4 linked regions of the Drosophila melanogaster genome follow. The protein of the gene in region 4 interacts with the protein of the main gene of each other region in a biochemical or structural test. Each region holds a gene or a part of one and is shown on either strand. Other genes may lie near its edges. The genes, in order: mtrm, nuf, Klp10A and polo.

Evidence for each region.
Region 1: the proteins of polo (region 4) and mtrm form a complex in vitro, tested with the Drosophila melanogaster proteins (one study listed by BioGRID).
Region 2: of the proteins of polo (region 4) and nuf, one has a biochemical effect on the other in vitro, tested with the Drosophila melanogaster proteins (one study listed by BioGRID).
Region 3: of the proteins of polo (region 4) and Klp10A, one has a biochemical effect on the other in vitro, tested with the Drosophila melanogaster proteins (one study listed by BioGRID).

What each region holds. Positions count from the first base shown.
Region 1 is NT_037436.4:8,411,113-8,414,607, reverse strand, and holds mtrm (matrimony), read right to left. Parts: upstream 1,597-3,495; 5' UTR 1,534-1,596; coding exon 880-1,533; 3' UTR 505-879; downstream 1-504. Other genes in the region: Exo70 (exocyst 70), read right to left, coding at 1-263, 326-390, 1,799-2,310, 2,381-2,546, 2,600-2,647; Oseg1 (outer segment 1), read left to right, coding at 3,115-3,179, 3,263-3,493. UniProt on the Drosophila melanogaster protein: Polo kinase inhibitor required to maintain G2 arrest in the meiotic cell cycle in females. Holds heterochromatically paired homologs together from the end of pachytene until metaphase I.
Region 2 is NT_037436.4:14,217,826-14,222,771, forward strand, and holds the start of nuf (nuclear fallout), read left to right. Parts: upstream 1-1,916; 5' UTR 1,917-2,111; intron 2,112-3,614; exon of another isoform or gene 3,615-3,675; intron 3,676-4,946. Other genes in the region: CG7768 (uncharacterized protein), read left to right, coding at 558-1,052.
Region 3 is NC_004354.4:11,134,117-11,139,064, reverse strand, and holds the start of Klp10A (Kinesin-like protein at 10A), read left to right. Parts: upstream 1-1,946; 5' UTR 1,947-2,198; intron 2,199-2,286; exon of another isoform or gene 2,287-2,969; 5' UTR 2,970-3,148; coding exon 3,149-4,185; intron 4,186-4,948. Other genes in the region: CDK2AP1 (CDK2-associated protein 1), read right to left, coding at 163-1,008. UniProt on the Drosophila melanogaster protein: Required during anaphase to drive sister chromatid separation to promote flux by actively depolymerizing kinetochore microtubules at their pole-associated minus ends, thereby moving chromatids through a 'poleward flux'.
Region 4 is NT_037436.4:20,308,100-20,313,996, reverse strand, and holds polo (polo), read right to left. Parts: upstream 4,344-5,897; 5' UTR 3,688-4,343; coding exon 3,589-3,687; intron 2,949-3,588; coding exon 2,724-2,948; intron 2,663-2,723; coding exon 1,880-2,662; intron 1,815-1,879; coding exon 1,386-1,814; intron 1,319-1,385; coding exon 1,124-1,318; 3' UTR 531-1,123; downstream 1-530. Other genes in the region: alphaSnap (alpha soluble NSF attachment protein), read right to left, coding at 113-204; SCCRO4 (squamous cell carcinoma-related oncogene 4), read right to left, coding at 5,171-5,250, 5,381-5,588, 5,650-5,897. UniProt on the Drosophila melanogaster protein: May play a role in regulating both nuclear and cytoplasmic aspects of the mitotic cycle. Regulates localization of the augmin complex during mitosis by ensuring its location on mitotic spindles.

The sequences.
Region 1 (3,495 bases), about 12 Mb from region 4:
TGGCATTATAGGCCAAGGTGGCGAATACCTCGTTGTGTTTCGACTGGGGAATAATGTCGATCATGATGGCTCGCTCCCAGTTAAGTAACCGCTGCAGTCCCAGCAACATGACCAGATACTTGTCCAGTTCCTGATCGCCATCCATCAAATCCTCGGAGGTCAGGTGGTCGCTGTGCGATGATGCCTTCTTAATGGAGAACCCTGTGGACTGCTCAATCGTCTGCGTCGCGCGTAAATATAACTTGTTCGCCTTCTTTTCGAATCTATGCAGAATAAATTAAATATATCATATACGAAAACTTGGAAATTAAGTAATATTTCTCACATTTGCTGAAGACGAGCGGAGGTTGTCTTTTTTGGCTCCGTTTGGCGTCCACTGTGTCGCGGTCTCTGCAAGAAAACATTTTAAAAACATTAATTTGAATTGTTAATTGCCATTGCATTAATGTTTCTTCGGAATAATTAAGGTACTAAAATGGTAGCAAATTAAAAACTCTTATTTTTGTAACCTTTTAATATGCATTTGATTCTTATGAGTTTATTAATTTTAAAAATGTGTGTTTTACAAAAGCGTTTATACCCCAATTTTTTTTTTTTTTTTTGACAAAAAGTATTATGCAATTTGCTAGCTTACGAAATAAATTTAAATTTGTAAATGAGCTTCGGAGCAACATTTTAGGAATTACATAGATTCTTAAAGTGTACTAGAGTTTATTATTTAAGGCTAAAAACGACGAGCTTTAAGACACCAGGTCTTTTACAATAATTCTAGAATACCTACTTAATTATCCACATATATTAAAATCACAAAGTTTCTCTTCACATAAAACATTTTAAAATCTTAGTGTATGATAAAAGATGGACATGCCAGCGATTCACTTAAAGAGTGTGGAGCACATCCATGATACGGTTGCAATCCTCATCGGTATTTAGGCCGATTTTAACAAGATCAGCACGCTCCAAGGATGCCAGTTCCACCAGATCGATGTGAGCCTCTTCGAAATTGGTCACATAGTTCTCCAGGCCCATGTGCATGAGAATCTGTTCCACATTGGCGGCATGGTTAACCACGTACGAGTGGTTCGATGCTTTGATGGAACGACGACGCGACTCCAAGGCCAGTGAGGTCTCCATATTCGAGTCATCCGAACAGGTATCCGGGCTGCTGCAGCTCTTTATTTCTCGCTCCGGCTCGATGATCTCCTCCTGCGGCTTGGGCAGCACGAATGGCGGGGGCTTAAGCTGAGTGCGATGGCAGTGCTGATGCTGCTGCTGCTGCTGCTGCTTGGGATGCACCTTCGTTGGCACTTTCTTGAAGGTAGCGAACCGCATGGGCGACACTGGACTCTTCCCCTTCGTGCCCATATTCTCGATGGGCGAGAGATTGGGCGAACGGAAGTTGCCAAAGATCGGAGTAGAGCATCGCACGTTGGAGGTGTTCACCTTCAGGGTGTTCCATCTGCGCTCCTTTAGCGTTGGCGTGCGATTAAGCGTAATTTTGGTCTTGTTCGTGGGCGTGCGAGAATTCTCCATTTTTTTTAGATACTGTGACACAGAAAATGATGCGTTCTTTGCGAATTCAAGCTGGCAAATGGCGGTCATCGAATTGGACATGTAATGCTTACATGCACAAGCTTTTTCGAACAGACACCGTTAACCGAAACGATCAGAGATGGGAAAAGCATACATATGCTCATCATCGTACACATCGCTATTCATATTCTACTACGTACTATTTTTCTCCACATAATATATATGTATTAATACTAGTTAGAATATGAAAGAACTGTTTACTCACCAGAGCCTCGTGACCCCAACTGTTGCTCTTTTGGTGATCCTTGAGCAGCTGCAGCGATCGGAGAACCACTTCGCCCCGTTCCGTCGCGTAGATGTTTGTGTACTCCCTTAAATTTTGCTCCAACCAGTGCGATATGGTGTACAGCTCCTCGCGCGTCGTTTGCGAAAGCTGCCGGAATGAGGTGTATTCATCGCTGGAATCGTCCTCTATGTAGATAAGATCCAGCAACTCCACCGGCTTCAGCGGAGCACTGTGCTTCTTGAGGAGCATACTATAGTGCTGACTCAGGCCTTCGCAGCCGGTGTTAAACAAACTGGTGACATTCTCCAGCTCCACGCTCTGGGAATTGTTGTGCCGGAAGTAATCGTTGGCATCGCGCAGTTTGGCTAGTGCGTCGAGGAACACCGAGATGTTTCCCTCCACCGGGCCTTGATGAATCAACTGGCAGACCTCTTGGGAGACATCGTAGTGGGACAGGACGCTTTCCAGACAATTGAGAGTAGCTTCCAGATCTAAAAAAAAAAAGAGGCGGTGACACATTAGTTTTTTTTTTTTGAAATCCCATTGAGTTTATTTTCATACTCTGCTGCCGTTTCTGGAGCTGCTCCGTCTCCTGGTAGACGGGCAATATGGTCTGCTCCAGGTTTCCCAGGCGCTTCTCGAAGATTGTTAGAATACTGGACATTTGCGTGGACAGATCATGGTATTTATCCACTCGATCTTTCAGCAGAGCTAAATTGGTGGCTTCCTATGAGGAAAATGGGTAAGTATGGAGGTTTTGAGCATGACAACTAGACATACCTTCTCCAATTTATTGTGCGCCTGCAATGAACTGTCCAAATTGTTCATTTTCAAGCGTATATGTAGCTAAAATCCTTTAAAAACAAACAATAGTTCTGATATAAAAAACAATTCTATTTTATTTTGTTTTGACGAAACTAGGCATTTATGCACACTGGCTTTGGTCATACTGTCAATTACCGCGTTGCCAACTACTTTGCACGAAAAAAAAAATTATAACGGTCATTTCAGATAGTAATAGAAACTTTTTTTAAATATTGTACACTTAGACAATTAGGTAAACGATAATGAGGCTATGTTTTAAATAAATTGTTTTTACTACTAGTACTAGTTTATTAGTCAAGTCCTAGTTTTAAAAGCCAAAACTAACGGAAAAACCCGCCAAACTGCCATCTCCAGCCAAGACGCCAACTTTTGTTGTGGTTGGTTGCCATGGAATCTGTGTGTAAACAACGCACCTGCATTTAGGAATTTCTACCAACTATGCAGGATTAGCCAATTCGACTTCTGCAACAATGAGGGGTGTTCTCAAGTGGCTGGAACGCATAGAGTTTCCCAATAGCAAAGACAATGAGATCAGGTAAAGCTTTCTCATTCGTGGAAAACAACAACCTGTTGCTTGCTATAACGCCATAACGGTATTTGCAAAACCCAATTTTCCAGTGTCCACAATGTGTGCTACGCACCCGATGGCAGCCAATTGGTGGTGGCTGCGGGGGATCGGTTGCTCATCTACGATCCAAACGATGGCTCCTTGCTGAACACCTTGAAGGCGCACAAGGATACGGTCAATTGTGTGGCCTACTCGCGGGATGGCAAGCGGTTCGCCAGCGGAGCCTCCGATAAAATGGTCATCGTGTGGTCACCTCAGCTTGAGGGACTGCTCAAGTATTCGT
Region 2 (4,946 bases), 6.1 Mb from region 4:
TAAATATTGACTATTTTTTTTGCCTAATTATACAAACATACACTCATCGCGTGGATGGATATATAAAGTTTGTACACAACTGCAAATGAAAGGTAAATATAGCCGGCTTTAAAAGTATCTGTGAGTTTTGCGTTGATTAAGGCGGCGGTTAAACAAATTAGAAGAGTAAATAAGGTCTGTAAGATTAGACACGGATAAAGGTATTTTAAGGACAATATTACCTTAAAATATCCAAATATACCGATCATTTGCAATGTATTAAAAATTGTGGAAGCCAAAGCAGGCATTTTTTTTTGCTACTGGATTTTATAAAGAAGGCTGTGAAATGAATTTCAACGAGCCCTTACTTCAGATCCCTGACTAGCCCAGAATATTCGTCAGTTCAGTTCCAGCTGTTCTACTGTACGGTTCTCTTGAAAGTCGTTACTTTTTTTTATCATAAAGCTGACACCACCAAGTTATCCGGTAAATATATTTCTTGTTTTTGAACAAGGCATCGTTCGATTTTAAACCTAATAGATCTGGCTTTTCTCCGAAAATTTTCGGCATCTGCGAAGATGTCGTTGCCACGCGTTTACTTCGATATAGCCGCAGGAGGTGAGAAGTTAGGTAGAATTGTGATGGAACTACGTTCGGATGTGGTGCCCAAGACGGCGGAGAATTTCCGGGCCCTCTGCACCGGAGAGAAGGGGTACGGCTACAAGGGATCACCATTCCACCGCGTCATCCCGAATTTCATGTGTCAGGGCGGTGATTTCACTAATCAAAACGGAACTGGAGGACGCTCCATTTATGGAAACAAGTTTCCCGATGAGAATTTCGAGCTAAAGCATACCGGAGCTGGTGTACTTTCGATGGCCAATGCTGGGGCCAATACCAATGGATCTCAGTTTTTCATTTGCACCGGGAAAACCACATGGCTGGATAATAAGCATGTCGTGTTCGGCAAGGTCGTTGAGGGAATGGATATCGTCCAGAAGGTAGAATCTTACGGTTCACAAGATGGGAAGACCAGCAAGAAAGTAATTATCGAAGACTGCGGAGCCCTCTGAAGGGTGTCAATACATAATAGTGCTGTCAATCACACATTTACACTATTACACTGAAATTATACTTTTCAAGAAAACTTTGCAAAATAAAAGGGGGTGCAAAAAAATGTATTTTGTCGGTTCAACTATTTACATCGCTCTCATATGTTACGCATTTCAGACCAATTCGTTGAATAATCCGGTGCACCCTGAACAGCCCAGTTCCCTGACTCATTTTCCTTTGATTTTTCTTTCCATTACTTTTAATTGACTCAATTTAGTTCAAGAGTTGCTCACATATGTCGCTTTTGATTCTTTCCACTCGATTCTCATTCTGTCTCCCATCACCTTTCCCTCAAGCCATTCTATCCACTTTACCCGAATGCACTTTGCAAATGTCTATTAAGTCACATACACTGATGAAAAAAAAGAATTAACCACCAGTAATACATATGTATATGTTTGGTAAAGTGCACTTTACTAAATACATTCAAAAACTCAAATTGAATCCATTATTTTTTAAATATATTCTGCAATATAAGTTTTGTTTAAACAAATATTATATTTGGAAGTTAGTATTTCTTTTCAAACCTAAAAACACCTGGCTAACTATGTTATACAATGTGTATATGTGTATGTGCATATAAGCCACTCAGCAAACAAAATTTTCTTTTCTCAAGTGCATGTAATACGAATTTCCAACACTGCTAAGTCACATTAGTGGAATTTTTCTATTGCGTTCGTTTTGCTTTGGGGCTCTGTTTTTTTGTATTTCTTTTCGTTATTTTTTCGGGCACCCAAAACAAGTCGCGGCTTCTGCCGACGTCGACCGAGGCAGCGGCAGAGGAGGGGCCGCGACTTGGCGCTGGCTTTTCAGCGCTTTCCTCTCTCAGATTGCATTTAACGCTTGCCGCGTTCACAACACTAGAAAAGCGGAGCAGCGCATCGAACGGTCGCCCTGTCTCTCACTCTCTCGCGCTCTCTCGCGCGGGTGTTTTGTTGTTGGGCAATGCAATTGCCAAGGAAAAGGAAAATGCAGCTGCTGCTGCTGCTCTCCTAAGCAAAATAGCCAAATTAAAAAAGGTTCGAAATTCGAGAAAATTAACCCAAAGTTACCTCAATTCGTGTGTTTTTTGTGTGTTACCTATTATCGATCGAATTCGCTTATCAGCTGTGTCAGGTGCCTTTGGCTCATTAACCGCTTATTTAAGGAAAAATGTGAAATCAAAACAAATTCGTTAATGACAGGGTCTGTTGTGAAAACCCGTAATCAAAGTAGCCTTGTTCGGCTCATGTTTCTAATTTTCATACCCTCTGGCAAATATATTGGTTGATTGATCTTAAATTGAAAAGTGCGGTTGAATCAGTTTGCCAAGTGTTTTATCGAAACATAAAAAATGGAAATCAAGTGTGGCATAAAATTGATAAATGATACAATAAATGGGACAAAATGAAAGAAAAAATAAAATAGCTTTAAACAATTCAAAGCAATTCTTCGTTATGGGGCGTTAAAAGTTGAAAAAACACTGACGGTAATTGATGAAGTAAAACGAAGAAAGATAAGGTGATCAAATTTGCAAAACCGGCACAATGTAAATTAATTGTGCTTTTTGTGTTGATTTTTTTTATTATTAATGGAGACAAGTTTAAGTATTTTCTTAAAAAGTTTAGTAAACTTAGGAAGATGAAAAAAAAAAAATAATATTGCCTCTTTAAAAATCAAGTCTTGTTTTCATTGCTTTCGGCAGTTTCTACATTCAAAGGGAATTAAATAAATCAAGGGCTTCCACCGAGAATAACGCATAGCAGTTCCAAGTTCATTCATTATACATAACTCGTACTTCTTAATTTCTTTTACTAGGCATTTTCCGTACCGTTAAGTTTGGTAGGAAAATATTCTTTCATTAGCGATGGTTCGTCAATTAGTAGGCATATAAATCTAACGGCACAGTGCCCTAACAGCACAGAAGACAACTAACCGGAACTGAAAACTAGCACTAAAAACCAATAAGTAAAAGGCCTAAGGTAGCCGCAATAACAAAAGAACGGAAAAGACCCTCTGATGACATCAACAAAAAGGGGGTGTACGAAAGAGATGGGACGAAATGGATGGAGATTACCATCCAATCCCGCATGCGTCCCGTTACTCTTGCTTTTCGGTTCGTGTCCACGCTTATTCACTTGCGCTTTTATTTAGTAATGAGTAAAACATATACATACATACGTATGTATGCATATATGAACATATGATGGGAGGCATTTTGGGAGCGGTTGGCTTGGGGTGACCGTATATAAATTCCACATAATTATGCGCTGTCCCTGACTCAAAAACCATATGTTCAAAATAAAGGAGGCGGGCGGATTCGGCGAGAGAATCACCCTCGGACATATGGCGAAAAACTTTTCCTTTGGGGGATCGGATCGCTCTCTTTCTTCGGTCCCTTGTCATTGCTCTTGTTTGTTGATTATTATTTTTTCCTATTTATAAAGATTGCGCCTCCCCAAATTCGCTCTCCCAGTCTCTCATTTTTCTCTCTATCGCTGGCGACTGCCTCGGTTTATTTTGCCCCTGAATTTCTGGTTCATTCAGTTTGCTTTTCGCGTTTCGCGTGCTTTAATCGAAATTTGTTTTTCTCCCTCGATTGTGGTTGTAATAAAATACATAATACACCATTTTAAATAATCGAAAAAATTAGCTATTCACTTTTAAAATTGAAAAATATTTGTGAGATCGCGGCACAGATTATTGAAGATCATAAAATCGGCAGGAAAATTAAAAATATTTTAAAGGATTGCATCATTAGTTTTTGGTTCTTTTAAGCAAAAGCTTTCAAGAAAGTTATAGAATACATAATAGTACATTAAAAATAATCAATGACAATTTTTTTTCAAGTTCTTATGTATATGATTCCCATATAATTGATGCAAAGTCTTTAAATATACATTTGTTTGAAATCATGAATATTTTATGTGGTACTCAGCATTCCTGATCCAATTTCGGCTAATCATTGTATATTTTACAACCTTTTTGTTGTAACTTGTTCACTTCACTTTGTTGCATGAAAAGTGCACAGCAGCGAAGTAAAATTTGCATTTAATGAGCTCCCCTCGTTCGACTCATCCCCATTTTCACCCCTTCCTTCGTCGACCATTGTATGCAAATCTTTGTGGAATTCAATTTTGCTGAAGAGTAGCTAATGATAATTTTCTATTATGCTGTTTTTGATTGCCTGACATGGGCGAGGAAAAAATGGTTGAAGAGATATGATAATCCAAAAATATTCAGCTGACAAGAAAGGAAAGTTTACTTCATTAGCAAATTAGTTTTAGTTGAATTGAAATCAGATTATTCGGTTACTTACTGTACTTGTATTGAAGGAATTGGATTGTATTTTGATAAGGGTTTCCAAATCATTTGTAATAAAGTTGTATTTTATTTATTTGAATGCTTATTTCGTAAATCAACTTGGAATCATTCAAAGCAAATAAAGTTCTTTAAAAAGTAAAATCTTTATCAGTCATGCCCTGCTTTTAATTGGCCCTCATATTGACCTTTATTTAAATTTGTATGTGATAACGTGAAAATGAAGCTTTGACAAGGGCACCTTAACTATACACGTCGCCGAACGATTTGATAAGACTAAGAATGATTCAGTTTACTAGACTACAAAAGTAAACAGCACGCCACAAATTCCAAGTAAAAGAAAAGCAAACTTAGCCAGCCATTGCATTTTCTGGTAATTAGAAACTAGGCGGGAATTCAAAACCTGAGGAACAAAATAACAATGAAAATAGGGAGAGGTTGGAAAATAGCTGTACGACGAGGATATGTAAAATTGTCTAGAATTCTGCTCAAAGTCTGAACAAAATAATTTTACGGTCTGTTGGTTCTAAAAAAAAAAGAAGAAGTAAAGAGAG
Region 3 (4,948 bases), on a different chromosome or scaffold from region 4:
TTAATGCTTAATTGGGACAAAATGGATCTTTGCGTTTGCTATATGTCCGTGTTTTTTTTTGTTTTTTTTGTTTGGGGGTAATTAACCTAGATGAGGCCGATCCTCGCCTCCTGGTCCATTTCACTCCGGGGTCGCCAGCTGCGGCGCCAGCGACTCCTCCTCTCATTGGCGCGCCGCACGCTCCGTTTCCATGAGGCATTCGCGCACCAGGATGCGGGCATGGACAATGCCCCGCTTGAGACGCTCCGTGGAGCTGCGCGAGCCCGTGTACGTGGGCCGGATATCGCGGCCCATCTCCTCAATGACGGCCAGCAGCTGGGCGTACTTGGTCAGCCCATTGCCCGGGCCCACTGAGGGCAGGCTGGCCGTGGAGGTCAGCGGCGTGGTGATATTGGCCGAAGTTTGGGTGGTCACCACCACGGGCGAGGTGGAGGGTGGCGGGTACTTTAGCTGCGATGAGCTCAGATTCAGGCCCATGCTCTGGCCATTGCTGCCAGAGGAGGTGGAGGAAACGCCGGCACCGGAATTCCGCTGACCACCATTGCTGGAGCACATGTTGGCCAGCGAGAGGGCCGCAGCGGCGACGGCTGCCGGCGTGGCCGTCGTGTTCGACTGCTGCTGGAGTAGCGCCAGCTGGGCCTGGAGGAACTGCGGGGAGTATTGGAGGGCAGCGACGGCGGCGGCAGCTGCTGCTGCATTGGCCGCTGCAGCGGAGCTCTGCTTGCTGGACGAGCTGCTGTAGTCGCTGGCGGAGGAGCGGTCCCGCTCCCGCTTGCCACCGCTGCTCGTGGAGTAGTCGGTGGCAGCGTTGGATGAGTTGGATCCGCCTCCTCCGCCAACGGATCCACGCGAGTGGTGGATGGCCGATATCTGGATTTGGGGCTGCTGCTCGCGCTGCTCCCGCTGCTGCTGGTAATTGTAGAAATTCTGCACTTGGCTGCGCGGTATCGGTGTCACCGTGACGTCACTCAGCTTGGACTCTACGGCCTGGATATCCATGATGTCCATGGTGGCGCTGGGCGATGTGGTGTCTGGAGTCGATATCCGTCGGTTGTTGTGGTAACTTAACTATGTCCACCTTTCCGTTTTCCTGGCACACAAAACTACTAGTTTTTAGCGTTTCTTTTTTGGTTTATTGTTTTTTGTGATATGATATCGATATCGATATCAGGAGGCGTTATTACGCTTTCCCTTCAACGCACAAACAAATACACCCCCACCAACAAAAGTCGATGGTTCGGATTATAGTATCGATAGACAAGCGCGATGCAAAGTGCCCACCTATTCGCGTCTCGAATGTGGGTGTTTCCACTGTACAAGCAATTTGTATACATGTGGAAAGCTCTTTGTCCAAATTGGTAAATGGCTAAATGTTTTTGAAAAAAAGATAATTAACAACCATAAAACTACAAGAAAATTACAAAATTTAACCCAAGTGCATATGTATACATGAATGACAAAACGGTAAAACCATGCAAATGAATAACCATCCACGTCGAATAATACCTAGTTCACCCTGATAAGGCACTCCCAATTTGTCTTATTAAACAGCTAATTTTGTTAGGGCTTAAAAATACCCAACGTTATGTATGTCTAGTGTTGTCTAGTTTCGGGGGGCGGAAAAGCCAATTGCACACAAATATACAAAGTATTGCCGAAACGTTGATTCTTTCAATAAATAAGGCACATTTTAATGAACTTATGCTTATGCCAACAAAAGCGGTCGCTTATTTTTATTACTTATTGATATAAATTCCAAAACAGCTGACATTTTTAACGGTTACTTTGCCTAGTGTTGGCCAAGACATCAATCTTAATAATAAACTCTCAAGTTGTCAAAATTATACTTGTATTTCTACTAAAAAGTCATAAATATACCCAAAAACTACTTAGCCAATAGTAACCCTGCTTAATATGGATTTTATTCACTTATTAACACGCCAATTGTCTCACTTTTCAAACACAACGGCTGATTGCCAGCACTGTTTGCGCTGCAGTCCAGTGCTGCGCAACGCGGCGGGGACAAAAAACAATGGCGAGGCGAAACTAAAAAATTGTGTTGCTGACATCTGGTCGCTTGCAAAACTATTTCTAGCAGATTTTGTGATATTTCGTTGTGATCGGTCGATAAATCCGCCAGTTTTTTTTTTAATGGAAAGTGCTAACACATTGTAGCGGTTGGGAAGATAGCAGGAAAGGTGAGCGAAAGGCAGAAGATTGCGAAAAATTCAATTAAATTTCCGCGACCGTCTGTTTTCTGCATCGGTGTGTGTTTGTGTTTGCTCGCAAGTGTGTGTGGGTGCTCTGTGTATGACGTAAAGCGATAAAGCAAACGCATTCCCCCCACTCCTTGCATATGTGTGTGTGTGCAAGTGTTGTGTTTCTCTCTCATCAGTTTTGCATCTAATTAGGAGCGGAAAGCATTGATTGGCTGCCAAACGCCGCGGTTTGTTGTTTTTTTCGCTGCATTTCGGCCAAAAGGCTTGCCGCAGCTGCATATGTGTCGCTATGTGTGTGTCAGTGTTGCACAGTGCCGCCAGTGCCCACAAAATGGGCGCACAACAACAAAAGCAGCAACTCGGTTGGGATTTTCGCGATCCTACGCTGGCTCGGAGCTCCCCTTTTCCTATTTCCAATTCCCAGCCAGCGGGCTGCCGTTTTTCCTTTTTGTTATCCGTTGCCAGACGCAACGAAAACGACAGTTGGCATTTGAATTCAGCACAAACACACATACTAACGCCGACCCGCAAGCAGCACACACACACACACTGGGACACTCGAAAAAAAAAAAACAGACGCTGTCGGCGACCTCGACAAGCAGTTGGGTTCGATTTAGTTGTCAATGCCTTGAATTCGGTTCGGGGCTTAGTTTCCACAAGTTTATCGCTCGTCAAGAAACAACGAAATAAAATTATTTTCGACCTAAAAAATCTGACTAAATTGTGTTTTTTGTTTATGTATTTATTTAGGCACATTTTGCACACCACAACGTAGTTACTACATCTACGACTAACGGAACTCCTCCTGCAAGCAGTGGAAGTTGCTGTCCATCAAGCAGTACTCGGAGTTAACGCAGGATAAGCCGGGAGAAAGAGAAAGAGATCGGTGGAGAATAGAGATATACAGGTGGAGTCAAAGAGGAAGGATCATGGACATGATTACGGTGGGGCAGAGCGTCAAGATCAAGCGGACGGATGGCCGCGTCCACATGGCCGTGGTGGCGGTGATCAACCAGTCGGGCAAGTGCATCACAGTCGAATGGTACGAGCGCGGCGAAACGAAGGGCAAGGAGGTAGAACTGGACGCCATACTCACGCTCAATCCGGAGCTAATGCAAGATACTGTCGAACAGCACGCCGCCCCGGAGCCCAAGAAACAAGCCACCGCGCCGATGAACCTCTCGCGTAATCCCACACAATCGGCTATCGGTGGCAATCTCACCAGCCGTATGACCATGGCCGGAAACATGCTGAACAAGATCCAGGAAAGCCAGTCGATTCCCAATCCGATTGTCAGCAGCAATAGCGTGAATACAAACAGCAACTCCAACACTACGGCCGGCGGAGGTGGTGGCACCACAACGTCGACGACCACTGGATTACAGCGTCCACGGTACTCGCAAGCTGCTACCGGCCAGCAGCAGACAAGGATCGCCTCGGCGGTGCCTAATAACACATTGCCCAATCCCAGCGCGGCAGCCAGTGCTGGTCCGGCGGCACAAGGAGTCGCCACTGCGGCCACAACCCAGGGAGCTGGCGGCGCTAGTACCCGGCGATCGCACGCATTGAAAGAGGTGGAGCGACTGAAGGAGAATCGCGAGAAGCGACGCGCCCGACAGGCCGAGATGAAGGAGGAGAAGGTGGCGCTGATGAACCAGGATCCGGGCAATCCAAACTGGGAGACGGCGCAAATGATACGCGAATATCAGAGCACGCTGGAATTTGTGCCGCTGCTCGATGGCCAGGCCGTCGATGACCATCAGATCACAGTGTGCGTGCGCAAGCGTCCCATTAGCCGCAAGGAGGTCAATCGCAAGGAGATCGATGTCATTTCGGTGCCGCGCAAGGACATGCTCATCGTGCACGAGCCGCGCAGCAAGGTCGACCTCACCAAGTTCCTGGAGAACCACAAGTTTCGCTTCGACTACGCCTTCAACGACACGTGCGACAATGCCATGGTATACAAGTGAGTATCCAATCCAAATAACAAGCTCCAAAACAACTCCATATATGGTCTGTTTGAATTACTAGTAGTGATTCTAAACAAACGCTCGATATGGTGACCACACATTCCAATGTCTTGGGGAGGCTTCTTCAATTACTAATGCGTATCCTTGCTAGCAAACGGCTTTATTTCAATTGAACTGAACTATAGAAAATCTTATTTCGTTATAGATGACCCTCTATAGCTATCATTCAATCTTAAACCTAATTTGTTGATGCAGTGGAATCATATATAGTATAAAGCAGCATATCCTTTAAAGAAATCATTGCCCCATTTATCAGATTTCCATCGAGTAACCAAATGTGCCAGTCACTTTTCGAGCTCGTTTCGTTGGCGCATCTCTGTTAGAGCGACCCATTGAGTCATGCCGACAGAGACGGCAACAGAGCCACACACATGCATCATGAAAGCGGTTGCTCCCGAAATAGCCAAGTTCGTTGAATGACTAACTTGGAAGCCCCAGACGCTTCACCTGCCCCCGCCCGGCCACTCCGTCCGCCGATCTGCACACGAGCTCTCTAAACCCAATTCTCCAGCGGAAGAGATTTCGAAAAAGTAACTGCCTTGTGGCCCGGCATTTGTCCATTAGCAATTGTTTGGCTTCAATTGAATTAAAGCTGCTACGGCTGCTGCTGCCCCTTTCCTTTCTCCGCCAACTTCTTGCTTAGCTTCTCTTTCCGGTTTTCGCACTCGTATGTATTGTGTGGCTGTCGGGAATTGGTAA
Region 4 (5,897 bases):
TGGAATAGGGCTCAGTACCTTGTGGGGTTGTGGAGATGCTAGGCTAGACCAGACACAGCTCCATTTCCCCACTCCCACAGAAATTGCGAAACTTCTTTGATTTGATACGCACCCGAACAGCGATCCCAGAAAGCCCTTCTGCTGGGTCAACTTCTTCTCCGCCTCGGCCATCAGCTGGAGCGCCTTCTGTTCGTTGTCACCCATGTCGAGGATTTATGTCCGCCTCGGCACTAATTGCATCTAAGTTTAAGACTTGTTCGGCTTTTCAGCGAGTGTGTGTACGTATTGGGATCTTTTTTCGAGAAAATAAAATCAATATGCTGACTTGGTGTGACCGCAGAAGTGGTGCCAGTGTTACCATCTCACAGCATTCTCAAATAACTCATGCCAGTGTTGTGAAATGCAAGGGCTGTAACGTTTGTTCGTTCAAAATAATTCTCAGCCGCCTGAATGCGTCACCTACAGTCTGGCAGGTGCATTTTAAGAACAGCTGCCCTAAACGTTGCAAACAATCTTTTTTCAGATATTTTATTAAATTTTATATATATTCGCTTTTAGTTCAAAAGCATTTACATATTGTATCCTATAGCTACAGATATTTCTGGCCAAAGTTGAATATACTTGTACACTTAAACACTTTGCAGCAGTATTGTAACTTATGTATTATTTTAAATGGCGCTATAGCGCACTACGAACGCACAATATTACACTATTACTTTTATAATGTATCCAGCATTAAAATTTTGTTATCAGTCACCTCGGTGAATATAGGCATTTCGAAACACGTTTGCTTAGTTTAAACATTTAATTTGATCTCTTTAAAATGCATTAAGTGATCGGATCGTGTACGAAAACCATTAAACAGATATATTAAATTACTTTTGAGGGAGGCCCAACACTGACGATGAATATAACTTAAGCAGTATTTTCGATATGAAGGGGAAGGGGCAAAAACAAATAAATTCTATAAACATCGAACAAATCAATTTGAACGGGAACTACAATTTTAAAAGATGATGGGAGAGGAGGATACTTTCTGGGCTATAAATGAAGTTGGCCAGGGCATTCGTGAATTACGTTAAACTAACATTCGGCCTTATAATGATAGTTGGGCTGGCTACGCTTATGTGAACATCTTCTCCAGCATTTTCCTAAGTTTCTCCTGGGCATATCGGATCTTCTGGTACAAGTCTTTAGACACGCCGTTCTCCACAATGGTCGAAAATCGGTAGGTGCGGAAGTTCTTCTCCTGGTCCATATAGGTTATAGCACTCATGCGCGGGCAGAGGATGAGCTTCATGTGATCTGAGAAGTTTAGCTAAGAAGGATAGATAGTTCATTAGGACCAGATGTACATGATGCCGATGCTGTACAATTATACAAACCTGCACAGAACCGTTGGTCAAATGCATAACTACGGCACATGTTGTACGGAACCAGGAGTGTAAATGGGGCATACGCGAGATTTGATCGCTCTCAATGTTCACATTGTTGGCACCTGCCTTCACCAGGTGCTCGATCATGTAGCGCTTAAAGTACGACAGCAGCTTCATCTTCTTGTCAAGCGACTTGCAGTAATCCGTGGTGGTCATGTACGTCTCCTTGCCATCCTTGTCGATGAAGTGTACGTTGATCTGATTCGGCAGCAGGATCAGCTTTGTGGTGTCGTTGAACATCACGCCGATGCCCTCATCGCACAGCTGGTAACCAAATCCGTACTTGTCGCTGTAGTCAACCCACTTGGATATCCAGAAGAGCGGCTGCGCTGCAGGATCTGTGTTCTCGTCGCCCAGATTGCCTTGCAGAATTCGCGGCTAAAGAAGTGAAGAGGTATAAGAGTCTTAAATTATTTAACTAATATAGAGCAAAAGGTACTTACCTTTCCGTTGATAAGATTAGTGAGCTGCTGGTACAGGCTCTCGATATCGCTGCGATAGTCCTCGCTGTGGCGGCACACCTGCGCTGACGCGGTAATGGCGTCGTGCAGATTGGCCTTGAGGAAGGTCGACTCCAGACGAGTGTCGTCGGGCCTGATGCCGTTCATCTCCATCAGTGGCTTGCGGTGCATCGAATCCTCGATGGTGTCGTTGCTGCCGATACGCGGCGCCATTGTCAGACAAGAGCTGGGCAAGAACATGGGCACCTTTGAGCCCTTGAGGAACTCAAAGTTCAGCAGCTGACCAATTGCCGGGCGGCTCTCCGGATTTGGCTGCAGCATGGCGATGACCATATCCGCCGCCGGTTTCCTTAAGTAGCTGGGCACGCGGTACTCGCACTTCTTGATTTTCGAGTACGTATCCTTCAGAGTCTTGGTTTCGAACGGCGGCTGGCCCACAAGCAGTGTGTACATGACGCAGCCAATCGACCAGATGTCCACCTCGAAGGAGTGGCCCTTCTTGGTGAGGATCTCCGGGGCTATATAGTTGGGCGTTCCGCATAAGGTCTTTTTTCGCTCGCCCTCATACTCAATGCGCGTGGCCAACCCGAAATCCCCGATCTTCACGTGCAACAAATCGTTGAGGAAGAGATTGCCCAGCTTCAGATCTCGATGGATAATGCGGTTATCGTGCAAGTACTTAACGCCCTGGATTATCTGGTAAATGTAGTAGCGGCATTCGAACTCCGTAATGCTTTTCCTACGTTTGTGCAGCTCCATCATGGACTGTAAGTCGGAGAGGTAAGTGTCATGGTGGCATATTGCAGAGATGTTCTATTAAACTCACTCTTTTCTTGCACAGCTCCAGCACAATGTAGATATTCTGCGAATCTTCAAAGTAGTTGTGAAACTTGACAATGTTCGGATGGTTAAGGCTGCGGTGAATAGTTATCTCCTGGGCGGTCTTCTCCTTCTGATTGTGTTTGATCATCAGCTTCTTGGATACGATCTTGCCGGCGAAGACGTCGTCGGTTTCCACATCGATGATCTCGTAACATTTTGCAAACCCGCCCTGCATAAAGCATATTAATTTTGTATTTAAAAACATTATACAAAAACATAACCTTATACTGTATTAAAAACAGATCTATGATAAAACTTTGCATATAGGTATTTTCAAGTAAATGGCGTTTAATAAACGTATTGATGTCTATTTTACAAACATATTCTGTATAAACTTTTTATCCATATTGGTTGGCAACATAAAATTAGTAATTTATATTTAACAATCACATGTTTAGTACCTTTGCTCCAATCTGCGGAGCCCCTTCCAAGAAAATATTTATATGCCAATAGCACAACGAGGAAATTGTTGGTTCAACTAAGTTGCAACAGTTCCTTTTCTTGTCTATGTAAATTCGAAGAAGCCGCGCCAAAAAAAAAAACTGAACAAGCAGCCAACTGCATGAACACACACACACAGGCTCGTACAAGATTCCCACACACAGGCTCTCTTTTTCTCTCCTGCTCTTAAAGGAGAGAGCTACAAAAACAACAAGGGAATGCTCATCAGCAAGGAAAACGGAACGAAAACCGGGATGTGGAAATGGATATGTGTGTATGCGGGTGCGTGCATGTGTGCGTGTAGGTAAATGTGTGATCCCTTCGACTGATCTGATCCCGGGCATCTGCAAATCCGCATCCGGACTCACCTTGCCGAAGAACCGCATGCGCTTGTAGGTTTTCCGCTGGTTGATGTCGACGAGGCGATCCGGAATATCCGTGCTCTTATCCTCGGGCTTCGCGGCCATCTTGCTCTCCTTTCTTCTTTACTACGGACTGCCCCTTTTGCGTTTGCGTTCGCCTGGAGTTTTGCGGCGATACTCCTCGTTCTGAGCCTATAATTCCACCGGCGATCGGCTGAAAGTGCCTCGGAAACGGAGATCAGATCCACACGGTTGACAAGAGAAGCGGCGATCAAATCTCGGTTTTGCCCATCGAATGCACGAAAACCAAGCACAAAGCGGAGAACGCGCCGAAACCGTTCGATTTTTTAAATGCCAAAATGAATTGGACGTGAAGCGTCAGCTGAATTGGTGTGCCCGTTTCGCTGGCTATCGCACACTTTCTGGTATGTATCGCGGTATTTTGTTGAGTGTTGAACAACAAATTCTATGGCCGTTACCCTTTTGAATTTACCTACTGGCGTTTACTCTGTTCGAATTGAGCGCAATATTTTTTCCTATTGCTCTGCGCAACACTGTGTTTAACCGCTATTTATTTGAAAATCTACAAAAACTAACGTTACATTTTTGAAATTTCAAAAGGGTTTCATAAATTGAGTTTACTAAACAGTCAACGGTCAACTTTATATTGTAGAGCCCCTTTTCTAATTTGAATTGCTGCAAACGTTTTCTGAGTAAAAATACTGCCACCTTGTAATTGCAGGTTTCGATCCTGATTTGTGTTAAAAAGAAATTATTAGAAACAGCTATCTCAAAGCCTTCTATGTTTTTCAGTTAAACTTTCAAATAACGGTTAAAAATAATTTTGATAAAAAAAAAACAACACTAAAACACACACAAGTAAATAGAAAAAATAATGTGTTTACTTAATAACTTTATTAAATAATCCCCAGATTTTGTTTTTCTACATTGATTTAATAACGACTACGAATACCCCACTATTGGTGTAGATTTCCGTTTAGATTTTGACTATGCCTGCTGATATCTCGAAGGGGTCGCTTGGGTTGGAGGATTGTATGTTCTAGAATAGGTCTATTTGGGGTCTCTTGGTTATTGCCATCGTTTCGTTCTCTGGGATTACTCCTTACAAGCTGCCCCGTTTTGGCTCTTGTTGCTGTTCTGATTTTAATGTTTTGTTTTTGTTTGCGAAAGAGGCCTTATAAGTAGAAAAATGTGGTTTTAGTTCTTAGTTGTCGTCGTTAATACATAAATTATTACATTAAATATATTATCAATAGTTTAGTTTCATAGTTGGTTGCTTTGCCAGTGTACGCAGTCTCTCCAAAATGCCTTGTGTTTCCGTGTGGGTGAGTGTGTGCTTGTGTGTTTTAGGCCGAAGAAGTGGCTGGTGGATCTGATCGTGGATCTGAGTGTGGGTGTGGGTGTCAGTGAGTGTCCTGCGGTTATGTCTTAAATTTTCGCCGATCTATCTTATCAGCATTCCCATCCCATCGCATCGCATCCCATCTCCGACTCAGTCTCCGCGAACTCCTCTCCGCACTGAGCTCCCAAAGTTGAACTAGAAATAGGCGACTCGATACAGCTTTTCTCAGCTAGATCCGGTTGTGGAGGTGACCTGACTCCGCTGCAGGCGCAGCCATTCAACAAACTCATCCAGCATGACGGGCCCTGCAAAAAGATGGGGGTAACTAAATGCTCCGTTTCAAGTTCTTATTTTAACTTATTTATCAGCTTCTTTTAATACGGTTGCGAAATACATAGTTCAGTTTAGTTTAGTTAGCTCCTTTGTGTTACTTACAAGCTCCGTCGATATCGTAGTTTGATAGATCAATGCTAATGGTGCGCGAGAACTCGAGAATATTACACCACTGATCTTTGTTGATCGCCTTGTACTTTGATTGCTCTAGAAACTGTGCGAACTGTGGATACAGAGGCCAATGTTTGCCCAAAAGTAGTTGAAGCATGGCTTTGGCAGTGAGTATATCCATACACCGTTGGTCCGAGTCCTGCGGAATATGCAGAGCCTTATTAAACGCAGCTCATTGTTTATTCAAATGGATTACTGACCTTGGCAAAGTCGTAGGCGTATCTGTAGATGCTTTTAAAGGAGTTGGGATCGTTGAGTATGCTGCGCAGATAGTCCAATTTCACAACCATTTTCGCTGCCGAATCGCAGTCGAGTTCTGTGAGGCCCTTTAGCCACTCCTGCTGGCTGAAGAAGCCCATCTGGGTGGCGCCCATTTTGTAGGCCAGCACCAGCATCACAATATTCTCGGGCTCCACGCCGATATCCTCGCAGAATTTTTCCATGCCAT